3 linked regions of the Solanum lycopersicum genome follow. Each later gene encodes a partner of the first gene's protein in a complex. Links are inferred from orthologs where the notes say so. Each region holds a gene or a part of one and is shown on either strand. Other genes may lie near its edges.

Region 1 (7,720 bases):
ACTGGGAGATGGTTTGAAATCAGTCTCTCGAGTTATAGCAGCATAATCATTGAGGAACTTAGAGATACACATGCATCAACAATCTTATGTGATATGCATACACTGACCGCTATGCCACCATAATCAAAATGGCTTAATTGGACCACTAGTGGCCTTCTGTCGTTGAATGAACTAGGAGTCCTCCAAGGCAAGTCTTGTGAGTACACTGAATCTGTAGCAAGGTTTGAGAATTTCAGACATTGGACAACTGACTCGGACATTTAGATACTCAACACCAATGTCATTGCAATCAACATAGAAGCGTTTATCATCCATGATTAATCTTCCGGCAAAGGGATAATAAAAGGCCAATACTTTTGAAAGGGAGTATTCAAGAATCTGGCTTTACATTGTTTGCTGCAGGTTTAGCGTGTGATCGCTGAGAGAGAAGATTGTGATGTATATGCAAAGCAGGGGTGGGAGAGGAGGACTTGATGTTCTTTTGTGAAATAATCATCGATAACACCATTCAGAAGTACTAGTTTGCAAGTCTTAAGGTTTAAATTCCTGCAATATAATGTAGAAGGAAGATAGTAATGGTTGAAGAACAGTAAAAATAATTATATTATATCACTTGTATGTTCTACGCATTCTTTCTTTGTAATAGTAATTGTTAAACAGGTCAATATGAGTACTTTTTGAATTAATATAATCGATAATTGTACAAGAAGGTTGACTTCATATATACTTTGTTAGATTATATCATTTGTCACACTTCCATCTCATTCTTTAAGTACCAACAGGAAGTTTTATATATGATATCATTCCATACTGACATTGAGACTGTTTTGAGAAGTGATATAAATCTTACAGCTGTGGCTTATAATAATAAATTCTTTTTAAAATCAATGATTTCTATTTTAGATGTTCCTCTACATATTGAAATAGCGCCTTCCTTTCTTTTCCAAAAGCTATCAATTTACCATAGGAACTTCGATAAGACTCATTCAATCTTCTCTAGTGACTTTGGGACCATTCCATTCATTGTCTTCGTCCTATTTCTTATTCCTTATGACAAGAGTCTGTCTTGCCTCTATGAACATCTTTTGTAAGTGGTAGAAACGTCAGCAAAAGTTAGGTGGGTATCTAGATCTAGGAGTTCAAACAATCTTTAATTTGGTTCTCTATAGCTAATGCTACAATTTCGTTGTTTATTTAGGAGGGTTTACTTCAACTGTACTAACACCCCTTTGTCCTTCCCCATTAATAAATCATGGTTCTTAATTAAGGAAACAGAACTGTTAAAAGATTGAAGTAAACGAGACAGAAAACTACGATTTGAACCAGAGACCATCTTAATTAGTTCAAAGTTTTAATTTTGTCCTATAGGCTTCTTTGTTAAAGTAACCGAAGATAGTGAAGCAAAGCACATAATTTACAAATCCAGTCATCATTCATTCCATCTGGGTTATTCACAATTCATGCATCAATAACGTTTCAAACAGATAAAGTTATCTTGCAAAAATTCCACCCAATGGCACTTACAATTTTACTAATAAATAGATAGAATCGGTTTTACTCGCCGAGGAAAACTCAAGAGAATAGCGCACAAAGAAATCAAGCACAAGGAGACACGGTCTAAGAAACTGAACCAGAAACTATTGCAATATCTGAGCTAGTCGACTCTAGGACAATTTGGCACAAGTATAACCAGGAGGATTACAGAGAAACACTTGTATAGGACCTTCAACGCAAAACAAGCCAAGGCAACCCACACACCCTGCCACTCATTTATTAAGACCAACAACTACCGCAGCAACCATAGTCACCAGAAATAACAGGGGAGGGTGAGAGAGACATTTCAGAAGCAAATCTGATTACTTGACGTCTACTTGGAGCAATGGGATTGCCCTCATATAAACAACAGGTGTGTCATTATTATACATAACTACAACCCCAGAAAAACTCTGGTTTAGGAAGATAAACCTAATATATTCAACCCATTGGACAAAAGAACTTGGTCCAAGTGGGTGGATTTTTTCTTAGTTCCTAAATTTGATGACCATTTCCAGAAAACTGGGTTTCAATCATCTTGACTTCTTTCCGAAACTTCTCTCCGTATACCAGTGAAAGTAAGATCAGACAATATACCAATTACCCAACTTCAGGACCAGCCTCGCTACTCACACTGATCTTTAAGGTATAGTACATGACCAGAGTGACAAATCCACAATAAGCTGGCAGAGTCAAAGGTGTTTGTCTCCATGTGCTGAACCATTTCTGTTCACAGAAGTTGGAAGAACCACTGTTAGTGAACTACTCCAATGCTCTATACAACTCTAACCCAACTCCCACCACACATGGGACAGCCACATGCCCACTCTTCCAATGCTCTATACAACTCTAACCCAAGTCCCACCACACATGGGACAGCCACATGCCCACCGGCTGATCCACCATACTTCCTTCTCATGTTGATTGGCAGAAGGGTTGCCACCTGGTGAAGCAAAAGCTGAAGTCTGTCTCAAACATCTTATGCACTGCAATAGAAGTCAACACTGTAAGTTGAGAACTAAACTGAAACTATGATCAAAATTTCCTGTTGTGCTACTCTATATCAATGAAGTATCGACATTGCAGCAACGAAAGTTATAGGAATAAGACTATGTTTACAAACCATCTGCTCTTAAATAGAAAAAAAAAATTATATTGAAAAGTAATGCCAAGTGCAATTAAAACTAAATCTGGAAGAAGAATAGAGTTCGAGTGAAGCTTTTTTCTTTGTTTTGCTTTTCCCAAATTATCTCATTGGGCAGATGTTACAATACAGTGATTGACTGACTATTTCATCGGAAAAGCCAAGGACCGATCAGCAAAACAACACATGATGTGGCCTACACACTAACTTCCATTAACTGATCAACATTAAGTAGATTCAACACCAACATACAAGTTGACCTCTGCAGCATTAAACATATGCACCTATGAAAATCTAATACTAGATTGTATACATGTGTCATACATAGAGGGTAGAAAACTGAAATATAACAATTATCATTTGTTTAATGAACAATAAAACCTTTTGATCTTAATAAACCTAGCATTTAAAAATCACTCACCATAGAAAGAGTTAACATTTGGAAATCATTAATAAACTTTTGTGCAACACAGGTAGCAAATATAACATTTATGACATAAAAATACCTCCCAACTCAAATGCAGAATGAAGAGAGCAAATCCCTAGACATTTTCTGGAAATGAAATGAAAGTCATAGCATACATAGACATATGGGAAACTAAAATACCACAACACCAAAACAAACATTGATCATTGTTTAGACGAAGGAATTAAAGCAATTTCAAATAACATCTTGTTATAATTTCAACAAGAAAAATATGTCGACTTTATCCAAGTTAAATTTGTGCATAATAAACGTTAGGATTGACTTCTGTTGTTCACACGTTAGGGACACCGACCTAGTTATTTCTCTCCAATACACAATCCAACTTGCTTAATTATAACATTATGCCTTCATGCAAAGAGATGCCATAGAAAATGAATAAAAGCAAAAAACTGAATCAAGTGATATATAGAGATCCAAAAGTCAGACAAACCTTGTACCAAACCCCTTCAAGCCCAGTCTTCCAAACAGCTGTCACAACATCTCGTCGAGATCCCATTATACCAAGATATGCACCCAGCCCCACTGAAGTATTCAGCCCAAAAGCAGCATCTCTTTCAGACATCCTGCGTTTCCTAGGCCACAAACCATGAGCTCCATAATATACATCACAGTTTTCTAATGAGCTGTACTGTGTCAAATCCCTTGATGGGCTAAGCTTAGAATTGTCATCCACATCTTCTGGATCAGACCAAGGTCCACCAAACATATTTCTCCTGTGCCATTCCTCAGCAGGTGGATGGAGTTCTAACTCACGCAATAGCAGCCCAGCAGCATCTGCACCTCTAGGCCTAGGCATATTCTGCAAGAAAGGGGAATGAGATAAGTGTCTAAGGATTATGGGGATTTCTACCCATCCCTACATGAGTTGTCTTTTTCAAGTTGTTTGCTGTTCTTTTTCCTGTCAAGGAGATTTGAAGTACCAAAAGTGGCCCAATGAGCTCAACAAATATAAACAGCTGAACTCCCCCCACCCGACAAACATTTTTCTTTCACATCTTATTTTCTTGTAGTGCACATAATTGAAAAAGGATGACCCGATATGAGGTTTATGAATGTTAGGAAGGAGCTTCAAGTGAACTACCTGCATGTGAGGTCCCAGGGAAGCTTCAACTACTTCCGGCAATACAGTATAGTTCCCATCAATATAATGAAGGCGGACCTGAATGTTGTTGCTCCCAACCTGAGAAACTGGCAGCGGATGTACCAAACCAGCAGTCCGGCGACAAAGATCCATCAGAATAAGAAAAAGGACCTTCACCTGCAATATAATATCAAATTAATCAATATTCTATCCACAGGATGAAACACTGCCATCTTTCCAGATATCAATAGCCATCCAAATCCACGTTTCACTACTTCATTACCTTCTAAAACAATTATTTTTTTACTTTCTCACAAGGGCTTCCTTTCATCAATATGAAACTTTACATCCACAAAACGTATGGCCTTGACTAATCAACAACTTCGAAAATAAGTATGCATACCGATGAGCCATTTCATAATTCCTCGACAATAACCAACAATCTAGAAAAAAAATGCCTAAATATCAATTATTAGATAACAGTACAAGACTATAAGGAAGAGCTTGTTGATTCAAAACTTCTCAAAGTAAGATACTTACATTAGCAATTAAAATTGAGTTGTCAGAGTGATCAACTAAACTGAAAAAGATTCTCATTCACTACATAACCATTCGAAAATCAGAGAAAGAGATAAAGTAAAGGGACAAAAAAAATTAAATTCATTCTTGAGCTCTCATCATTTTCTAGCTTGCCCATAGTTGTTGCTTTCATGACTTAGATAGCTCAAGATTTCTTGTTCAGATTCTTAGCCAGTTCTTTTTGGCTTCTTAACTCAATATTGAGAACTAGCTCTTTCCTCTTCATGAACTGATAAAATCACTAAAAGTTTCTCAAATATTTTTCATTCTGATAATTTGTATCAGCTGCTGAACCATAGTGGTTATTTATTACTGTCCATTTATCTCTCAGACAGGACGACTGAATAATACATTTAGAGATAACATGGACCTCCTCACCTGAATAATCAGCCTGCTTGCTATATCATAACAAGAATAAGTTTCCGACCAGCTCGATAGAACAGTGGAAGAATCCATTTAGAGAATATAAAAGATCCTGTTTGACAGAGACTTTCCCATCTGGACAGCCTGGCTGTCTCATAACAAGTAACCAACCAACTTCAAGAATTTCTTTCCCATGAATTTTCCCAATCTGATTTGAAAGTGAACTTCGCAATCTCATTACACAGCATATAATGGTGTTTAAGTTTGAATCTGCTCTTTCATTGATTGGAAGTTTCTTCCACTCCTTGGTGCAGTTCATTGGACAGCGATAAGTTGGCATCTTTGCCAACTTATGCTACCTTTTAATGATAAATTCATTCCCATTTGCAAGATTAATGGACTAATAATGGTTTGGATGACATAATTCCATTTTTGGGAGCCTTTGAAGAGAATAAGGATTAGAATAGCTTCCAATACTTGATAAAATTGGACATGAAGACCAAAAGTTGAAGAAAAATTGGTTAAAAGAGCAAAGGGAAAAATCTGAGTAGGCCACGTAGCTGACCCATGTAGTTGGCCTCACCCATGCAGCCAAAGAAAAAAAAATAGCTTCTGGAAGTATCCAGGCAGCTGAGAAAGAAGGGTGTTTTTGCCATACTTTTGGGTGACTTCAAATAGAAACCTAGGCAATTCTTTTGTTTTCAACAGTGAGGAATATATCTTAAATCATCAGTCTGCTGCCCCTCATAATGCACCAAATTCTGAGACTTGGATACCACTAGGAGTCTCCGGCTATTCTGAAACCACCAATTTGGTGCTACATGGAAATTGAGAATTATTCTAAAATGGAGTGATAAAAGTATAGCAATCCAATACAAAGAACAGTTCAAGGAGAAACAAGAGCAACTGGTAAATTAATAGTTTATAAAGTTTACCTCCTCATATGTGTATCCTTGACCAGCATTTCCAGAACCAATCCTAGACCGTTTAGATGGACCTTCTTCAGACCCCTTTGCTCCTGTTCCAACCTGACCGCCTAGCGTTGGTTTTGCACCAGAGTTGGAATCTTCTGTTTTGCCTGGAATACCGGACTGAGGTTTTTGCATTGAAGAATCAGCATTCCTTTGAGCAGCCCCCATAAAACGCGGTAATTGTGTTCCACGGAAGAAAAAACAGAAATGCAGAAGTTGACATAGCCGATGAAGAAAATGGCAGTCCCCTATAAGCCTAACAGCCGGAGTTCCAGGGAAAGTGCCAGTGTTGATACTTATCGGCATAAATGTAGAAGGACCAGTGATGGGGTTTGGGGCTGAACTAGGAACACTGTCGGCTGTACTGCTAATTTTTGCTATAGCTCCTTGTACCCAAGCTTGCATCTGAGTGCTCCCAGCAGAACTTGCAGTACCACCCTGAGCACCTGAAAAGAAGAGGCCCCTGGTTTAGCTCAGAGAAGAGATGTGGATTCTTGGATCCAGGAAGGGATATACCTTAACAGCACATAACAGAGAAGCAAACAAACTAACCCTGGGAAGTGGCAGGAGATGAAGCACTTTGAGTAGGACTAGTCACCATACTCCTACTCCCACCTGTACCTGCAGTAACAGCATGACTAGCCAATGTACGGCAGAAACTTGCATAGCGCCGTAAGCGCGTGATGAAATGAGACGCCAGATCCAGTATCGCATCTACATATGCCTGAATTAAATCATCCCAATACTTGAGAAACTCAAACACTGAACGCAGAAATAGACGTCCTTGGTTACACATACAGAAAGGTGATGATCACCAAGACATCTATCCAATAGCGGGAAACCAGTGGGTGGAGGTACATCGGACAAGTGTAAGAAAATACCTGGATACTTGGCACAAGTGATGGTTCAACAGCCATCGCCTCAGGATCAATACCAAACAGTGTCTCGCTAGAAGCTTGCCATGGCTCCGGAACCAATGCTGATGGGTTTGTTAAAGCTGATTCGATTCCCTTGCCAAGCATATCTAGCAACAATCTTGCTTGCATGTCAAGCACCATTGCCCGGACTTCTTGAGCATTTGTACCTTCTAGAAGCCTGCATTTTATCCTGTCTAGACTCTGCATTATACGGATGAGATATATCAACATTCAACGATATCCAAGAACAGGAGAACTCATAATACATTCCTGAGAATGAACTTTGATGAAATCATGAAATAAACACACAGTTTTAAAATTCAAGAACTACTTGTATGTATGTATGCATGCACAGATTGAATGATAGAAAAACATGATCCAATATCTGATAAGTACATACATGACACAAACACAAAGACACAATCTTCCACACAACACACTATTAGACTAGTATATGATCGAGAGAAACAAAAATTAGTTACATTGCCATCTATCGTAATAGAGGAAGTGTTGTAATTCATATGTTAAATTAAGCAAATTTGATCCTCATGCTCTCAAGATGGAAAATAATTAGAAGTGTAATCCATACACTGCTCCATTATCTTCTCCAAAGTCAGACTGATATCATGCAAGAGCAAAACTCAT
Region 2 (8,232 bases), on another chromosome or scaffold:
CTGAAACATCATCATCAGATGATCCTTGTCTTAATGTTCTCGTGCTTTGGAAAGTACTCTCTTTTGATAATTCAATAGAATTTTCACTGGTCGAAGAGGGCAATGAGGTAGCTCGCAACAACCAATCCAAACGCCGGTAAGAGAATGTTATTACATTTGAGACCTCCTTTTTCAGATGTGTCAAAACTTCAGACACTGATTTCAGTTCACAAGTTTCTTCTTGATCACTTGATGGAGGACCACGAAGTTTCTTTGTCACACCCTCCCCACCATAATTGGTATCAAGGTGGGGGAAAAATCGTCTTTTCTGACCATTGAAGGCCTTGAGAGCTAACCTGGTCCTATCAACTGCAGATGCACCAGCCTGACCAGCAAGTTGTCTCTTCCATGCATATGCAACAACAGCACCATCAGGACAAACCAAAGGCATGTGGAGGCCCCATGAATTACTTCGTGATCGGAGGGAATCATTGAGGACACCAGAATCTTCTAACTGTCTTCCAACAGAGCGAAGCTCTTGAAGGTGTTGTCTCATGGAAGCTTCTTCTTTGTGGATAAGATGCAAAGGTTTAGAAGAGTGTTGCCGCTGAGCTGACACAAATAGGGCTTCCAACAGCCGATCTGCGCCAATTCTAATATCAGCTATGAGTCGACTCGCCTGCCCCAGTCGCTCCAGTGCCATTGCCACCTGCTTTGGCGGCGCATCTCCACTCATCTCATTGGACTCCGCAGCTGAAGCTCCTTGTACCGCCGACGTGTGTGATGATAGTGTTGATTGCTGCATTTATGCAAGTCTGAACCTTGGGAGGTTTTATTATTGGCAATTATGCTCCGTGGATGAGGTGCTGTTTTCATTTTTGGAAAAAAGAACTGAGTGAGAGTCCACCTCAACCAGTAACCATAAAAGACGGTTCAATAACAACAATTCATCACATCATATTTCCAAAGTCTCAACGGTCACCTCAACAAACTCATTTTGACATCACCTAGCTTTAAACATGCAAGTGATATCTACTATCGTGCTTCAGAATTAAAATCCTACCAAGAACCCCATAAAACAAGGAACAAGTACATAAAGTAGCGAAGGAAAGCAAAAATGAACCAGAACCTCAAGCTAAGAGGACGTACGAATGATTGTAGCCTCCTTTTCCACTTTGAAGAAGGAGACCGTTCATCACTCAACTTTATAGGACAACTTGATACAGCAAACAATCACTCTGTATTTTTTGTCCAACTGTACAGCTCGGACAATATACCCCCAGAATGAGGGGGCAAAGGATTTTTACAGCTATTCCATATAGATAATTATAGCAACATGTAAAGAGGTTGTCTGAGTAACTGTAGCCTCCTTTTCCACTCTAAAGAAGGAGACTGTTCATCACTCATATGCTGTAGGACAACAGGATACAACAAACAATCACTTGGTATTTTTTGCATTCCTTTTTTGTCCAATTGTATTGTATGAACAAAGGACCCACAAATTGAAAAAAAGAGAAGAGTCTCTACAGCTATTCCATATTTCACAAAATTATACAGCGACACACTAAGAGGATGTACGTGTGATTATAACCTCCTTTTCCACATTGAAGGAGGAATATATTCAACAGAAAAATTTTGTAGGACAATTGGATATAAGAAACCATCACTCAATATTTTCTGTCATCATTTTTTTTCAGACTTTAGGGGTTTCGATGTGATCTATCCATCTTGACATGCAAGCACAGCAAAGTCTGTTAAGTGCATATATATAGTTTAAGTGACAGGTAGTGGATTTCCCTCTTCTATCAAGAAAAGGTAGGAATGGGGGATGGGGGATGGGAATAATGACTTTGAAGTTCCAATGCTTTCAGATTCAGGAAAGTCTTTTATGTTAAGACACAAAATATGTAGCTTCTACTTCAGTAGTTTGATAAATATATTGCCGTTAACCTATACAGCCAACTTCTTCCATAAAGGGAAGAGAACGTGCCATATACAATTATCCTTTCCACTCCATCCTTTTTCTATCAAGCCTTTTCACCCCATCCAATTGCTCTTTGTGGAAGATTATCTTCAAAAGTTGGAAAACTGCTGTGCAAAAATAAAGCCAAGGTGTCTTCGACTATGTAGATTGGAAAGATTTCAACTTTGTAAGTCAGTTCTTGTATGTTTAATAATAAACAGGGAAACTATCAGTTGACCAAATAAAAACATGGTAATTGTTTCAAAAAAAATTAAAATCCTAAAATGGAAGCCAAAAGCCCAAAACCAAAAAACCAGTACACATCTGGAGAACTATAGTATTCATGTCAAAATAATTGTGAAACAATAAAAACAAGAAAGTGGATCGTGGACAACCAAAGAGGAAAATGCATTAGAAGAGATAGAAACCTAAGTTTCTGGGAGGACGAAACAACTACAAAGAAAAGTAGAAAGAGAGAAGTATTCACAGAAGACTAGAAAGAATCACAATAGAAAACATACTCAGTATCATTTCCAACATAACAAAGAAATGCACAAGCCTTTCTAATGGACAGACTTTCAGCACAATTACTCTATAAAAGAATAACTCAAATTCCTGCTATAGAAACAGCTCTTCCCATCTAATACAACTGTGGTTCTATCTTTTAGTCTATCAAAACTTCATACTTTCCAACAATACAGCTCCCAATCAGCAAATTCCTCATTCTCTTTCCAACAAGTGAATGCTAATTGTTAGCTATATAGAACGCAAGGGATGAGATAATGTGTAATGGTTTTTCAGGTTGAGGCCAAAAGCATAAATGATCAGAGCTTAAAACTTCCGAATAAAAAGTAAGGGACTAGGAATCATCAAAATATGTAGAAACAAACTAATAGTTTATTTGTTGCAAGTCTCCTTGGTGTCCGACGCTCAAACAAACTAAAGACATTTCGTCAACCAGATGAAGGAACTGGCAAAAGAAAAGACAGCTAGCAATTAAGGGACTATGAATCATCAAAATATGTAGAATACCATGGAGAAACAAACTAATAGTTTATTCGTTGCAAGTCTTCTTGGAGTCCGACACCTAAACAAACTAAAGACATTTCGTCAACCAGATGAAGGAACTCTTGAGGTAGATGGCAAAAGAAAAGGCAGCTAGGTTAAAATATCATAGATTAGTAGGTTCTGTAAAGTTAACCGTATAAAAATGTAGGGTTATCGTAGCCCACATTCTCATGAGAAGGAGAAAGTAGGGGACTTAGAATACCCACAACATATAGGATACCAAGGAGAAACAAACTAATATGTTGCTGTTTCCATGTCTTCTTCGTGTCCGGCGTTTAAAGAAAATAAAAGCCAATGAAACTTCCCTGAACCACATGAAGGCTGTATCTCTTAAAGAGGCAAAAGAGAGGCAAGAAGTTCACTATATCATAGATAAGTACCTTCCACACAGATAGCTGAATAGAGATGTAGGGTTATCGTAGCCTACATTCTCATGAGAATGAGAAAGTAGGGGACTTTGAATTTCCACAACTTGTAGGACACCAAGTAGAAACAAACTAATAGGTTGTTGTCTGCATGTCTTCTTGGTGTCCAACGCTTAAAGAAAATAAAAGGCAATCAAATTTCTCAGAGCCGCATGAAGGACATAACGAGCAAAATAGAGGCAACAAGTTTAGTTTATCATAGATTAGTAGCTTCTGTAAAGATAACTGAATAGAGATGTCCGGTTATCGTAGCCTACATTCTCATGAAAGGAAAAAGTAGGGGACTTTGAATCGCCACAACTTGTAGGATACCAAGGAGAAACAAACTAATAGGTTGCTGTTTGCATGACTTCTTGGTGTCCAACATTTAAAGAAAATAAAATACATCAAACTTTCTGATCCAAGTAGAAACCAAAAATGGTTATACAATTGTATAGAGGTGTTTGCTCCAATGCACTTTGAGATCAGACCAATTGATGTCTATCCCTAGAGTATGCAGCCTGAAGAGGTTGATTCCCATGCAATGCATTATTTTTTGGGGGTAAACTGAGCTGTTCAAAGTAGGAAGAGGCCACCAGTTATCAGATTATCGAACAATTAGCAGTTCAAGTTAAAAAATGTGTATGGCCACGTAACCTGCTTACTCATTCTAAGCAACAAGAAGGGGACAATGAATTTCCTCAGACACTTGTTATGTCAGCAGGAGTAAACAAATGAGTTATTAAATGCTTAAACAATTCTTCACCAAGGCTCAAGAACTTTCAAGGCTTTTTTAGCCTTCTTGTGACTTGTCAAATAACCAAAAAAAATAAAGCCTAATGGAGCTAATTTTGACTTGATAGTTCTAATGTGATTCTAAGATAACACTCCCTAAACTAAAAGTCATCCTATATCACTGTGTATTGCCACCATTGAAAAGTGAAAGTTTTGCCAAAGATCTATTAACTGCGGGTGCATATCAACTTCTGCATAGAAACAATCTAACAAAATATTCATATCAGGTCTCATGACAATACAGGTCACTTTGCTAGATGAACAGAAATCAGTATATTTTTATGGAACTCATAAATCGTCGCACTAAAATTCAGAAAATTAAAACTTACCAGTTGAAACTTGGAAGAAAAGACTGAGATGCTGATAGATTGCAAAGCCGTCAATAGAAATCGTGAAAGTCAGGCAATGTCGCTGGTCGTAGACTCGCAGTGAGGCACAGTTTCTGGTAAATTACAACACAATACCATCGAAGAGTTTCTAAAATCTTTGAGCGGTACAAGAAATTGTGCCAATCACGGCGTAGTGTATGAAGAGATGCCGCACCGAACTAGGGTTCTTCGTCTTTTAGGGATGCTGCGATTTAGGTCTGAATGGAGAAGAGGGGCGCGTGGGGGTCTGAAGAAATAGTGTGGGGCGGGTCAGTCATGGTTTTGGGCCGGATTTGGTTTTGAATGTTGGGCCCAAGTGAGAGACTCATGTCCTTGGAGTCTTTTTTTAGCAAAAATAAAAAGGGAAATTTAGCTAACTAGTCAAAAAAATCAACTTATTTAGTGATAATATCCATATTTTAATAATATTAGTCAATTTTTACAATTAATAGTTGTATTCATTCAAAAATTATATTGCATTGTTTCTGAATTTGACTTTTTTTTTTGTAATTTGTATTTATTCTAAAGGTATGTCAACTGTTATGTATTTTATTTAAGAATGAGTACACCAAATATTTAATTATTTCTTTTCAATTTTTTATTTCATTCACTTTTTCATCATACTAATTTTTTTGTGTTTTATATATTATTATACAAAATTCTAAATAAAAACTATAATAAATAGAAATACAAATAAAATATATATTAAAATAAATACATACAAGATTTTTGAAGAAAAAAAATAGGCCAAATACATACGCAGGTCCCTAAAGTTGTTCGCGCTTTTCCCCCAGGTACCTCAACTAACCAAGATTCCTATAAATCCTTTAACCCCCTATAATTTGATCCTTTTAAATATTTTTGGCTGATGTGGAGTCAAATTTCAATAAATTATTTTTGGTAATTAGGCGCGTGAGATGAACCTTCCCCACGTGGAAATTTTGACCAATACACTCCAACCCAATTACACGTCAGTGCCACATATTATGTCATCAAACCTAAAAATCAATTCCCCCCCAAATCACTTTTAACCCGTTTCTAAACGAGAAAACCCTAAGAATCTCTCCTTTTCAATGACTTTTACAACTGAAATTCTTAGATTTTAAAGTGATTTCGAGTGTTTTGTTGAAGGAATCATCGAAGATTGCAGACGATTTTGGAGTTCATTCGCGATTTTCGAGTTGACGAGTGTGAGGTAAGTGACGAGCATGTTGTTGTGGTTGTGTGTTTTTAATATATGTGTTTATCCTGTGGTTTTTATTGATATATACTGGGTTTTAGTATCAATGTGGTTGTTGTTGTTAATATCTAGATAAAGTTAGGGTTTTTTGGTTTTTATTGTTCATAACTGTCAGAAAAATTTGGAGCCTTGTTTCAGGGAATCTTATGGACGCCATTATTATAACTCGTTTTCATCATGGTGGTAAGTTTATTCAGGACAAAACTGGAATTACTTATAAAGGGAAAGTCGAGGTGGAATATGTTAATATCGACAAGGACCACTTCTCAATAATTGAGTTACTTTTTTACACTAAACAATTGGGGTATATTATTGTTGGTGGGTTCTGTGTTAAAGACCCCACAAAAATGGCTTTATTGAGGTGGACATTGATTTAACATTAGTAAATCTCATCAAAGACCTAAAAGATGGTGACTTTTTAGACATTTATGTAAAGCATGTGGTGGATGATGTAGAAGTGGTCACAACAGGTTTGCTTTGTGGGTCTGTCGTTGAAGAAGACTTAGAAGATATAAATGTGACTGCAAGTGAAGGGTTGAATCATGAGGCTGAATCTGAAAATGTTAATGTGGAAGTTGAGCCAGGAGATATATCAGATCTAGATGTGGAATGGACTGAATCAAATGAAGAAAGTAGTGATGACTCTCAAGAGGATGCTATTCCTAATGTGGATGACTCTGAGGTTGATGAAGAATTAAGATCTCTTAGAAATGAAAGGAGAAACAAAGTGAAAAAGAAAAAACCTAGTCAAACTGAGGAAATAAAGCTTGGAACAGCTGGTGTTGATAGAGGCTTTGAAGACATATGAAGGAATAAGACTGCTAGATACACTGGAATACTAGGGGGTGATGAGCAATATATAGATAGCTCAGAATTGGACAGTGAAGACAGTAGGGATGAATTTGATTCAGAATTTGTGAAGGGTGTTGATTTACCAAGAACAAGAAAAAGTAAAAAGGTAAGATTTGATCCTGATTGTGTTGTAGCAATTTTTTAGCTTGGTATGGTGTTTGAAAGTGCTGAACAATTTAGAAAAGCTGTTGCAGACTATTCTTGTCAATATAAAACTAGGTTAAAATTGAAGCCTAATGACAAAAAAAGAGTTAGAGTTAAATGTGAGGACAAGAAATGTAAATGGTTGCTGTTTGCTAGTATAGATAAAGATTCTGGTGATTTTGTTGTCAAAAATTATTATCCTGTGCATGTATGTCCTCAATCGACCAAGAACAAGTTGTGTACATCTAAGTTTGTTGCAGAAAAGTTCAAGGATGAAATAACCTGTCAACCATATATAAGATTATGGAAAATTCAGGAATTGGTGAGAAAAAAATTTGGGTTATATGTTGGAAGAATTGTTTGTCATAGGGCAAAAAAAAGGATTATCAAGGAGTTCTTAGGTGATTGGAAGATGGAATTTTCAAGATTGTGTGATTATGCAGACATGATTAAACATACTAATCCTGGTACTTCCTGTTGGGTGAGGACAGATAGAGAGTCTCAGCCAGGAAAAACTTTGTTTGTTTACTTCTATGTTTGCTTTGATGCATTGAAGAGGGGGTGGTTGGAAGGATGCAGAAAAATTATTGGTTTTGATGGATGTTTTCTGAAGGGTTCTTGCAAGGGAGAATTGTTGGTTGCTGTTGGTAGAAATGGAAATCACCAGATGTTTCCAATCGCATGGGCTGTTGTTGACACAGAGACAAAACATAGTTGGAGTTTTTTTCTCAAGTACTTGATAGAAGATTTGAACTTAGGCATAGAACATGGACTGACTATTGTTCTATTATTTTTTTTTCTTGTGTTGCTAATACTTTTTAATGTTTGTGCTACAACTGCTTACATAGGGCCTTGTACCAGCTTTATGTGAGTTGCTACCAGATAGTGAGCAGAGAAGGAGTGCTAGACATATCTGGTCCAACTGGCATCAATTATGGAGTGGTGAAGAAAAAAGGAAACAGTTCTGGAGATGTGCTAAGTCAAGTTTTGAAGTGAAATTTGAAGATGAGATGGATAAACTCAACAAATTAGGTAATAAAATTTGTGAGGACTTGTTGCATTATGAAAAAACTACTTGGTGCAAAGCATATTTTAAAGAGCATTCTAAGTGTGACATTGTTGAAAACAATATGTGTGAAACTTTTAATTCTTGGATACTAGTTGCTAGACATAAGGCTATCATAACTATGCTAGAGGAGATTAGGCACAAGATAATGGACAGAAATATTGCAATGAGGCAATTTGCTGAAACTTGGATCTCAGATATCTCTCCTATGGACTAGTACTAGAAGAGAACAAAGATCTTGCTAGATTTTGTGAAGTTAGATTCAATGGTGATATTGGATATGAAATCTTAGATGGTCAATACAGACATATTGTTGATATAAGAAAGAAGACATGTACATGCAGAACATGGCA
Region 3 (8,159 bases), on another chromosome or scaffold:
ATTCCGTTTTCAATTATCACTTGTTTTAAACGACTTGAATATCATTTTCACTGGTGCTAGTTACCAAGCTTTAGTCTACAAAGTTTTAACCTTAGAAAAAATATTTATCCAATCAGACATGATCAAACAATCATATGGAAACATATCTTTAGTACTTAAAAGCTCATTGTTTCTTCTTTAAATTTCTTGACAAATCAAACTATAAGTAGAAGATGTAGTTTAGAATATAAAAATATAACATACTTTTTAAATTAAATAAAAAAAAATATGTCATATAAATTGAGACAGATGAAGTAACAATCAAGAAACTCGAAGCTCTATTGCTTAGAGTGGATTGTATGTGGATGGCATCATGGGAAGATACACTATATTATAAAGCTAGACCTAATTGACTCCACTATCTACCATTTATTGAAAGTTACATTGCACCTTTTTACTTGTGGACCTAATTCGAATGTAGGTTAAAAGGACGGGAAAATACACAATGTGTCCGGAAGGCGAATTGCATGCAAAATATACTTGACTTTCATAATAAAATATTATTTGATGAAAAATATACTTGACTGTTATAATAAAATGTTATTATTTGATGCAAACTATACTTAATTGTTATAATAAAATGCTAACATAGAGAACGTATCTTAGTTAACTAATTACCTTCATATCTTTCAAGTTCTTTTTTTTTTCATCTTCATATTTCACCCTCCTCCCAAGTCTCATATATGCCAATTAAAATTAAAATAAGTTTAGGAGGTACTTGTGCCTCATCCCAACAAGAAAAACTCTTCCCACCGCAAAAGTTCCATCAGTTGTATCTAAAAGATTTAGTTTGCATTGCACAATGCTAGTTGTTTTTATCCATCAGGTGAACAAAATCGAACCAAAAACCACATCAAACCACAAACTGAGTCAACCATGTGACATATCCATGTAAACAACTTAAACAAGTAGAGATACTATCCACAAGAACAAAGGAGTGGATATATGTAAAAGTTAAAACCCAGCCTTTGCTTTGTGAAGTATAATTTTCCTAGTGAAAAGGGAGAAACCATCTCATATCCGAGTCAAATACTCTAGAATGCAGTATTATCGCTTACATCTACCAGATAAACCAAGAAATTTCTAAATTGTCTTCGACACGCGTTCAATCCGTATATAACACGTTTTATTATGGGTTGCAAACAGGTTAACCCATATTTGCTGTCCAGATTAACATTGTCAAGAGAACACTTGTAATTCAATTGTACTGCACCAGAAACCATCAACATAATATTACCTCAAAGTTCCATATAAGGGATGAGAAACCATATTCAAGGACTTCATTAGACTAAAGTAGTAGCACACTGGGCCTACTCAATAATAAGCTATTGCTGGCTGGCATGCATTTCTCCAGCATGAGAGAAGAGAAATGGGTGTTTCGATGGTATTACAATTCCAAGGTTTAGCTCCTTAAACTACCACATGAACTACTATCAGCTTCAGCAGCACAACAGGTGACAGCAAGAGTAAGCTGATGAGTGATTGCCTGCAGGAAGAACTAAAATTTCTAATTTTGTTTTGTTTTGGGGTGCACCAGATTGCAGTATACAACTGCCAAGCTCCATTATTGAAACTGCAATCAGCAATTAAACAGGGTTGACTTCTTTTCTAAACATAGGATGTAGTCTAATTCCAGGGATGATCACCTACAAGTGTGGTTGTGAAATTAGATTCCACAAATAGGATGCAACATAGCTTTTATAGGATGATTAAAGAACCAACGCATAATCAGAATATTTTAACACAAAGTAATATGTTCAGTGTAATGCTCCTATAGAACCCAAAAGCCATTCTTAAATTTAAAGAACTGACATTATCAAGATAATGGAAGAAACACATCATATGCTCAATAGGAGTATTACCCAATTTTCCGCTTAAGCATATATAAGTTTAATGAGTCGTCACAAAGTCGCAATTAGGTCAATTTGACCAACCAGAATAAAGTATAAGCACAATACTTGATTTTACATTGGAGAACTATGTGTTAAGTAAATAGGAAAGAGTACATCTTGTCGAGAAAAGGACACACGGCATAGTTTCAAACTGAAACTCATAAATATATATGGGGAAGCACTTCACTTGACCAAAACGAGAAAAGAGATGAGTGATAACATGAAATCCTTGGAATTCCGTTAATGAAAGTGATACAGCTAATATAATTTTGTGTGCTGCACTTAATTTCAGGTCTATAGATCTAGGTTGTACCGATTCTTAAGTGTCACACCACCCAATTCAAGCCAAATGGATAAAGTTCCTCTTTTGTTAGTTTTCTGGAAAGACAGTAGGCCCTTGAGAGTCAGTACCTGCAACTTTGAGGACACGGAATTGGAACAGTCGAAGGGGAAAGAATAACTACAAAGGCAAAGGTGATTATAGGAATTCGTACAGGCTAGCCGAGGAGAGGGACCGTAACCTTGCCCAAGTGAAGTGCATCAAAGACCATAAATACTCCTCCCATTTACCATAGATTATAGGCAAAGGTTCATATACTTAGACCACACTAGAGAAGTTGCTCCTTCATTTATCATCAAAATCTGAAGTTCACATGTCAATATGGTGATTCGAATTCTTCACTCCATTGATAACCCATTACTGCTATAAGTGTGCATTGGCAATCTTCCAGTCACCTATCACCAGATGTCTGAGCTAAGCCTAAAAAATTAAGCAATTGAAACCACAAACGAGGGCATCCCAAAAGAGTTCAAAGGCAGGCTGCTTCCTTTCTGTTTTGGTTACTTGGTTTGGGAATAAAATTAGTTCTACATTTATTTCTTAAAGAAATTTGATCCTAGTGAACCCAACAAATGTGTAGTTGATCTCTCGCAAAACTTTAGCACTATGTTTTCTGACATGAGAAAGAAAGTACAGGTCATTGATCATGCTTGAGACTTGGGAAGGACTCTAAAATTCAATAAACAACAAATCACACTCTTAATAGGATTTCATTAATGTGTTTGCCAATGAGGAACTGCAACACCTATTCGAAAAATGAAATCATGGGGTGCAAAATGTATTACCTTAATTCATAAATTAGTTGATAGGAGGTCTGTGCTATGAGTAAAATAAAATTATCCGTCTTTCCTGCTAAAACAAAATTATCCAAGTCAATAACCATTTCAGAAACATTACGTCACAAATCTAACCCTAAAATATAAAATCATAACAAGAGGGAGCATGCAACAACAAGCATTGACAAAGTTTTCACAGTAAGAGAAAAGTAAAAGAGGAGAGGAAATACTTTCTCTTTCTTCGATCAACAGAAGCATTCCTTGGGTCCGTTTTAGCAAGACCAGATCCAGGAGGGATGGCATACTGCATCGGGGAAAGAGCTGCAGCTGTAACAGGTGTAGGAGCAGGAGGTGGAGCAGTTGGAGGGGCTACACTTGATGGTAGTGATGCAGGTGGAGCAGAACTTGGTGCAGTTGCAGGCTCAGGAAGCGGCCGCGGCAAAATATGTTTCAACCGGTTATTTCTGTAGTTCTTCCAGAAGTAAAATTGCTGCCTATGTGCTACTTCCTAATAGTTGTTACAAACATGTAGATCAGATCCTATCACAGATTTATGTGCCAGAACTTTAGGTTGGCAAACAAAGTGCAATAAATAATAAACAGTGAAATGAGATGAGATGTCCTCGGGGCGAGAATTAACCTCGACAACACGATTAAATAATTATAAGTTTTATGCCTAGAAACTACGGGAAAGTTCAGAAATGGAAATAAGGCTAATGGCTAAGACAATGAAGTACCATGTATTATAAAGTGTTTTGGCAGCATTTTTAGTCCATAGAAACTGTGTTTACAGAAAGTGGGGTGAACCTTCTTTATAGTGGCTGACAGTCTTAACTAACTAAAGAGTATAGCAAAAGTGGAGAAGGAAACCAGGACAACACATGACATAACTTTTTACCTTGTTAGCAGGATGAGCCATTGCATTACGAAATGTTGGATTTTGGAGAAGCTCGAGAAAGAATAGGCAGTGTGGATACCTGCATTAACATCAAGAAAGGAAAACCAATACGATTAGTTAACGATATCCATAGTCCACAGGAAACAGAAAAGGAACAAGGACCATCATCCACTGCATCTAAAAAGTTGCAGTAGAAAGAACATACATAACTATTATCACATATTAATACTATAAACTAACTTACATTATAAACTTTATGTACTCAGGTCGTTGCCAGTACTGAAGGTACTTCAAGTACCCAATAAAAGCTTCATCTTCAAAATATCTGTTCTGAGCCAAATCTGCATCAGAATCAATACAAAGTCCACAAAACAAAACAAAAAATGAAAAAGGGATAGAAAAATTGAAGCTTTTGCAACCCAATATTCATTTTCACACCAACAACATATATAACATAAAACTAACAATAATTGGTAAATACCCAGAAAACATCATGTTTAAATAAGAGAAGGGAATAGATAGATAGATACAGTGAATGTAAGTTGGGTTAGCAAGGCATTGAACAAATTCGAGTTCGAGTAAGAAACGTTGGCGCCCATCATCGGGATCTTTATAGACGCTTTTCTGCCTGCAAATTGGAACAGAAAAAACAGTTGATTAATGTGAATTTGCGAAGATGCAAATTGATTTGAGATGAATTGATTCTGCTTACGGTGATTCATGGGTTTCTGGATTCGATGTAGAAGCCATGCGCTAAACCCTAACTAATTCTACTTTTCAAAGTTAGCCGTTGATTGTATTGCTGCGCTATATATACAAAAGGAAAGTCTGAAATTCATTGCATTTTTAAGATGTAATGTAAAAATGGATTAAATTCATATTGAAATAAAATTTCAGTGTTAAAATGACATCTTGTATTTGATTTTGATCCTAATTTTTATTTGCTCAATATGAGTGTGTCATTAGATTCATTTACTCACCTAGATTATACAGTCGATCAGATTGAAATGGTTAGAAATCTTTTTTTTAAGTGAAGTCATAATTCTCATATGTGATTATACCAGTGTTACTAAAGATGAAAAGCGCAAAAAAGCTCTTACGATCCATGGGGAATTTAAGCGCAAATAAAATGTAAGCTTTGATGAAAAAAGACGCAAAGGGAGGAAAAGAGTATAAGTATGCATGTTTAGTCCAAAACTAATAACTATAAACATGAATATGTCAAATATATGATCAAAGAAATTGAAAATAATTATGACAAAGTGAAATATCAGTGATTTAACTTCACTGTCTCATAAGAGGCTCATTGGTAAGGTGACGTTTGCCTTAGAACATTGGTGAAGACACTAAAGTGCACATAAAGCGACGCGAAGCCCTCAACACGTTTTTGAGTCTCGCTTGCGCGCTTTATATCTAAGTTTTGACCAGTTTTTTATTAGTATGCATGAATTTTTAAGCTTAAATTCGTAGTTATATAAATGTGAAAATTGTGATTTTAGTCCAAGGGGTTAAAAAAAAAAGGGCGATTTTGGATGCAACCTTCATGATTTTGGTTTGGAATAAAAATCTTATATCACTTTTGATATTTATAAGCTTGAATTCAAGTTGACTCTGTTTCGGTTATTTCTCAAAGAAACATGTCTACGGGCCACAACTGAATATATGTGTCATGAAAGAGAGGTGCATAATACCATGCCTAAAATGAGCATGGAAATTGGGGGTTTTGGACCTACAACTACGAAATCATATTTCGATGACCAATGTTTCCAACCAAATTTTAGATTTGTTTACCCTTTATACAATTACCAATTTGGACTACTTCAATTGGTATGTCCATGCTTTTTCCTATTAACAAGACGCTTTACCATACACTACAAAATCTTCATCTCTGTCTATACCAAAGCATTTTGTATCTACCCTAACATGGAGTAATAAATAGTCCTTTAATAAAATTAAACACCATTGGTCTTATTGCATGTAGCTATTAGGATTTGAAGTTGGGGATAAGGAGGTTTAGGAGAGGGGAGCTTAAGAGTGACCAAACCACAACCATACATAATTCAGACCATCTCCAACAAACTGTCTATTTTATTTGTCTTTTCCATTTGCTGCCCAAAATGCAAGCATCTGAGCAAGCTAGCAAAGAAAAAAATTCTCAATCCCCAGAACCTAAAACATCATCCACAGAGTTGAAATTTATGTCAGCTAATGACTTATTTGAATTAGAACATCCTTTGCCCTCAACCAAAGAGAGTAAAACAAGGAGATGCCCTTTTCACAAAGCGAGCTCCATGCTTCTCTAGGGAAGGCTGCAATCCAGCTTAAAATTCACTAGTATGGCCTGTAGCGGATGGACCGTCTGAACCTTGGAACCCTTCTGCAAACAAGATGACAACACAATACTTGTTAACTAAAGTTTGATGTAATCATCAAGCAGGCATCAGCTTGAATTATGTCAAGACAAAACATGACAACGAAAGTGAACATCAAACAAGAGAGTAAAATTTGCACAACTGTTAAGTTATAGCTTATAAAAGTGAAGAGTCAAGGAGGACAACTTAGGAAGGAACACTGTAATCCAGATGAACAAATATCTGAAAATTTATTCTTCCATTAAATCTAGGGAAGTTCAGCTCTCTGTTGAAGGGCATAAAAAGCATTCCCACCAATTTAAGTTCACTTTGATATTAAAACGATTAGTACCAGCCTATCGGGAACTCGTTAGGATAATAGGAAATAAATCCAACTCAACAAATCTTATAAAAAACTTATGTTGGACCAATATAAGTTGACATGTGTTACTGCAACAAAATACCCAACAAGTAAGTTTTAAATTATCCTCATTTAACAGTTAAGTGATACAACACCTATTTTTGGAGTTCTGAAGGTTTACTTTGTATTACTTAACTGGTAGTAGTACAGGGAGCATTGTTGCCAACATTTGCATTAGTGTTGCAAAAACAAAACAGCTGATTTTGGCACATACGACTAGTACAAAAAGTCGGCCGCGGAATGCATTGCTTGTGTTGTGATGCAACGTCTTAAAAAAAAAGTCAAGTGATGCATTTTAGATAGGTATAGGTAACTGTGATTGTGTAAAATGGATTAGACATAAGTCATCTAGTTTATTTCAGTGAACTGCTGACTAGACCCTTCCATCATAAGACGAGACTCTAGGCTCATCTTCCGTAGCACACTGATAAACTTGAAAATAGACTAGTTTGAGTAGCTGAGCTGCTAATCCAGAAGCTTAGGAAATATTTAGTCAAAATACCAACAGAAAGAAGTAACCCCTTCGAAAGAACATTAAACACAATAGTTACCATTTCAGATCAACACAATTACCATGACACATGCTCTGGCTTTACGAGAAACCCAAAATCCTACTTCGTTTAAAGGAAGTGTAAGCCTAGAAACCTAGCCAACCAAAGACAACACAAGATTCCATTTTATTTGGGAGGCAGGAAGCACTGAACTACTGCTCATGTAGGGGCAACAGTGTAGGCCAAACAAACATGTATTGAAGTAGAATATGTGGCAAGTGCAGATCCCATAAGGCATCAGAGTAGGCTGTATCCAAGTTGGCAACCAATTAATTTCAACTTGACTTCCTTCAGAAATTGAGTGATAGATAAATCTATGAAGTTGAAACTGACAGGATACTGGTACCTAAATGAAATTCGCAGAGTAAGGAGATAAGCTGAGCTTTAGCCCAATGTTTATTGAAGTAACGAAGGCCAGGATCATATTAATTGTCAGGAAAGAAACTGCTCTGAGCTATATGCCCCAAGCACCTCTTTGATCCTGATCCTAGAGATCAGACAAAGATGTCTAGCCCCAAAAGAATGGTCAAGCAAAGATCCACTTCGTTTTGGACAAGTAAACAATTTGATGCCTCTTCTTGTTGGGTTGGGGTAAAGAAGGGGAGGGTGTATGTCATGAATCTTTAGGGAAGAATCAATTCACAGGGCAAGCTCGTTAAAGGGAACTGAAACCTTAGAAGAGAGAACTCTGATCTCTTGATTTTTGTTGAATATGACTTACTGATTTATTCATCAAAAGCCCCTTTAAATAGGAGTCTTATTATATCAATAGGAAATCTAATTCTTATGAAAGTAGGTAACCTAATTCTTATTCCAAACTAATAACTATAACTTAACCTAATCCTTATAAAACAAAGAAATATAAACCCTATTCTAGAATAATAAATAAAG

What was found. Proteins that work in one complex are often made in the same cells at the same time.
Region 2: mediator of RNA polymerase II transcription subunit 16 (region 1) and mediator of RNA polymerase II transcription subunit 27 share a complex: the UniProt entries of both Arabidopsis thaliana proteins name them as parts of the mediator complex. The link is inferred for Solanum lycopersicum from reciprocal best matches to the Arabidopsis thaliana genes SFR6 and AT3G09180.
Region 3: mediator of RNA polymerase II transcription subunit 16 (region 1) and mediator of RNA polymerase II transcription subunit 31 share a complex: the UniProt entries of both Arabidopsis thaliana proteins name them as parts of the mediator complex. The link is inferred for Solanum lycopersicum from reciprocal best matches to the Arabidopsis thaliana genes SFR6 and MED31.

The regions. Positions count from the first base shown.
Region 1 is NC_090801.1:59,365,224-59,372,943, forward strand, and holds the end of mediator of RNA polymerase II transcription subunit 16, read right to left. Parts: intron 7,277-7,720; coding exon 7,040-7,276; intron 6,883-7,039; coding exon 6,711-6,882; intron 6,605-6,710; coding exon 6,123-6,604; intron 6,005-6,122; coding exon of another isoform or gene 5,966-6,004; exon of another isoform or gene 4,741-5,965; intron 4,689-4,740; exon of another isoform or gene 4,529-4,688; intron 4,423-4,528; coding exon 4,246-4,422; intron 3,964-4,245; coding exon 3,595-3,963; intron 2,520-3,594; coding exon 2,373-2,519; 3' UTR 1,619-2,372; downstream 1-1,618. UniProt on the Arabidopsis thaliana protein: Component of the Mediator complex, a coactivator involved in the regulated transcription of nearly all RNA polymerase II-dependent genes.
Region 2 is NC_090800.1:77,926,815-77,935,046, reverse strand, and holds the start of mediator of RNA polymerase II transcription subunit 27, read right to left. Parts: upstream 4,850-8,232; 5' UTR 4,539-4,849; intron 846-4,538; 5' UTR 785-845; coding exon 1-784. UniProt on the Arabidopsis thaliana protein: Component of the Mediator complex, a coactivator involved in the regulated transcription of nearly all RNA polymerase II-dependent genes.
Region 3 is NC_090802.1:52,517,592-52,525,750, forward strand, and holds mediator of RNA polymerase II transcription subunit 31, read right to left. Parts: upstream 4,850-8,159; 5' UTR 4,696-4,849; coding exon 4,658-4,695; intron 4,574-4,657; coding exon 4,476-4,573; intron 4,287-4,475; coding exon 4,190-4,286; intron 4,025-4,189; coding exon 3,946-4,024; intron 3,556-3,945; coding exon 3,278-3,555; intron 3,124-3,277; coding exon 3,108-3,123; 3' UTR 3,057-3,107; intron 2,885-3,056; exon of another isoform or gene 2,141-2,884; intron 1,686-2,140; coding exon of another isoform or gene 1,682-1,685; 3' UTR 1,149-1,681; downstream 1-1,148. Other genes in the region: polyadenylate-binding protein 1, read right to left, coding at 6,277-6,322. UniProt on the Arabidopsis thaliana protein: Component of the Mediator complex, a coactivator involved in the regulated transcription of nearly all RNA polymerase II-dependent genes.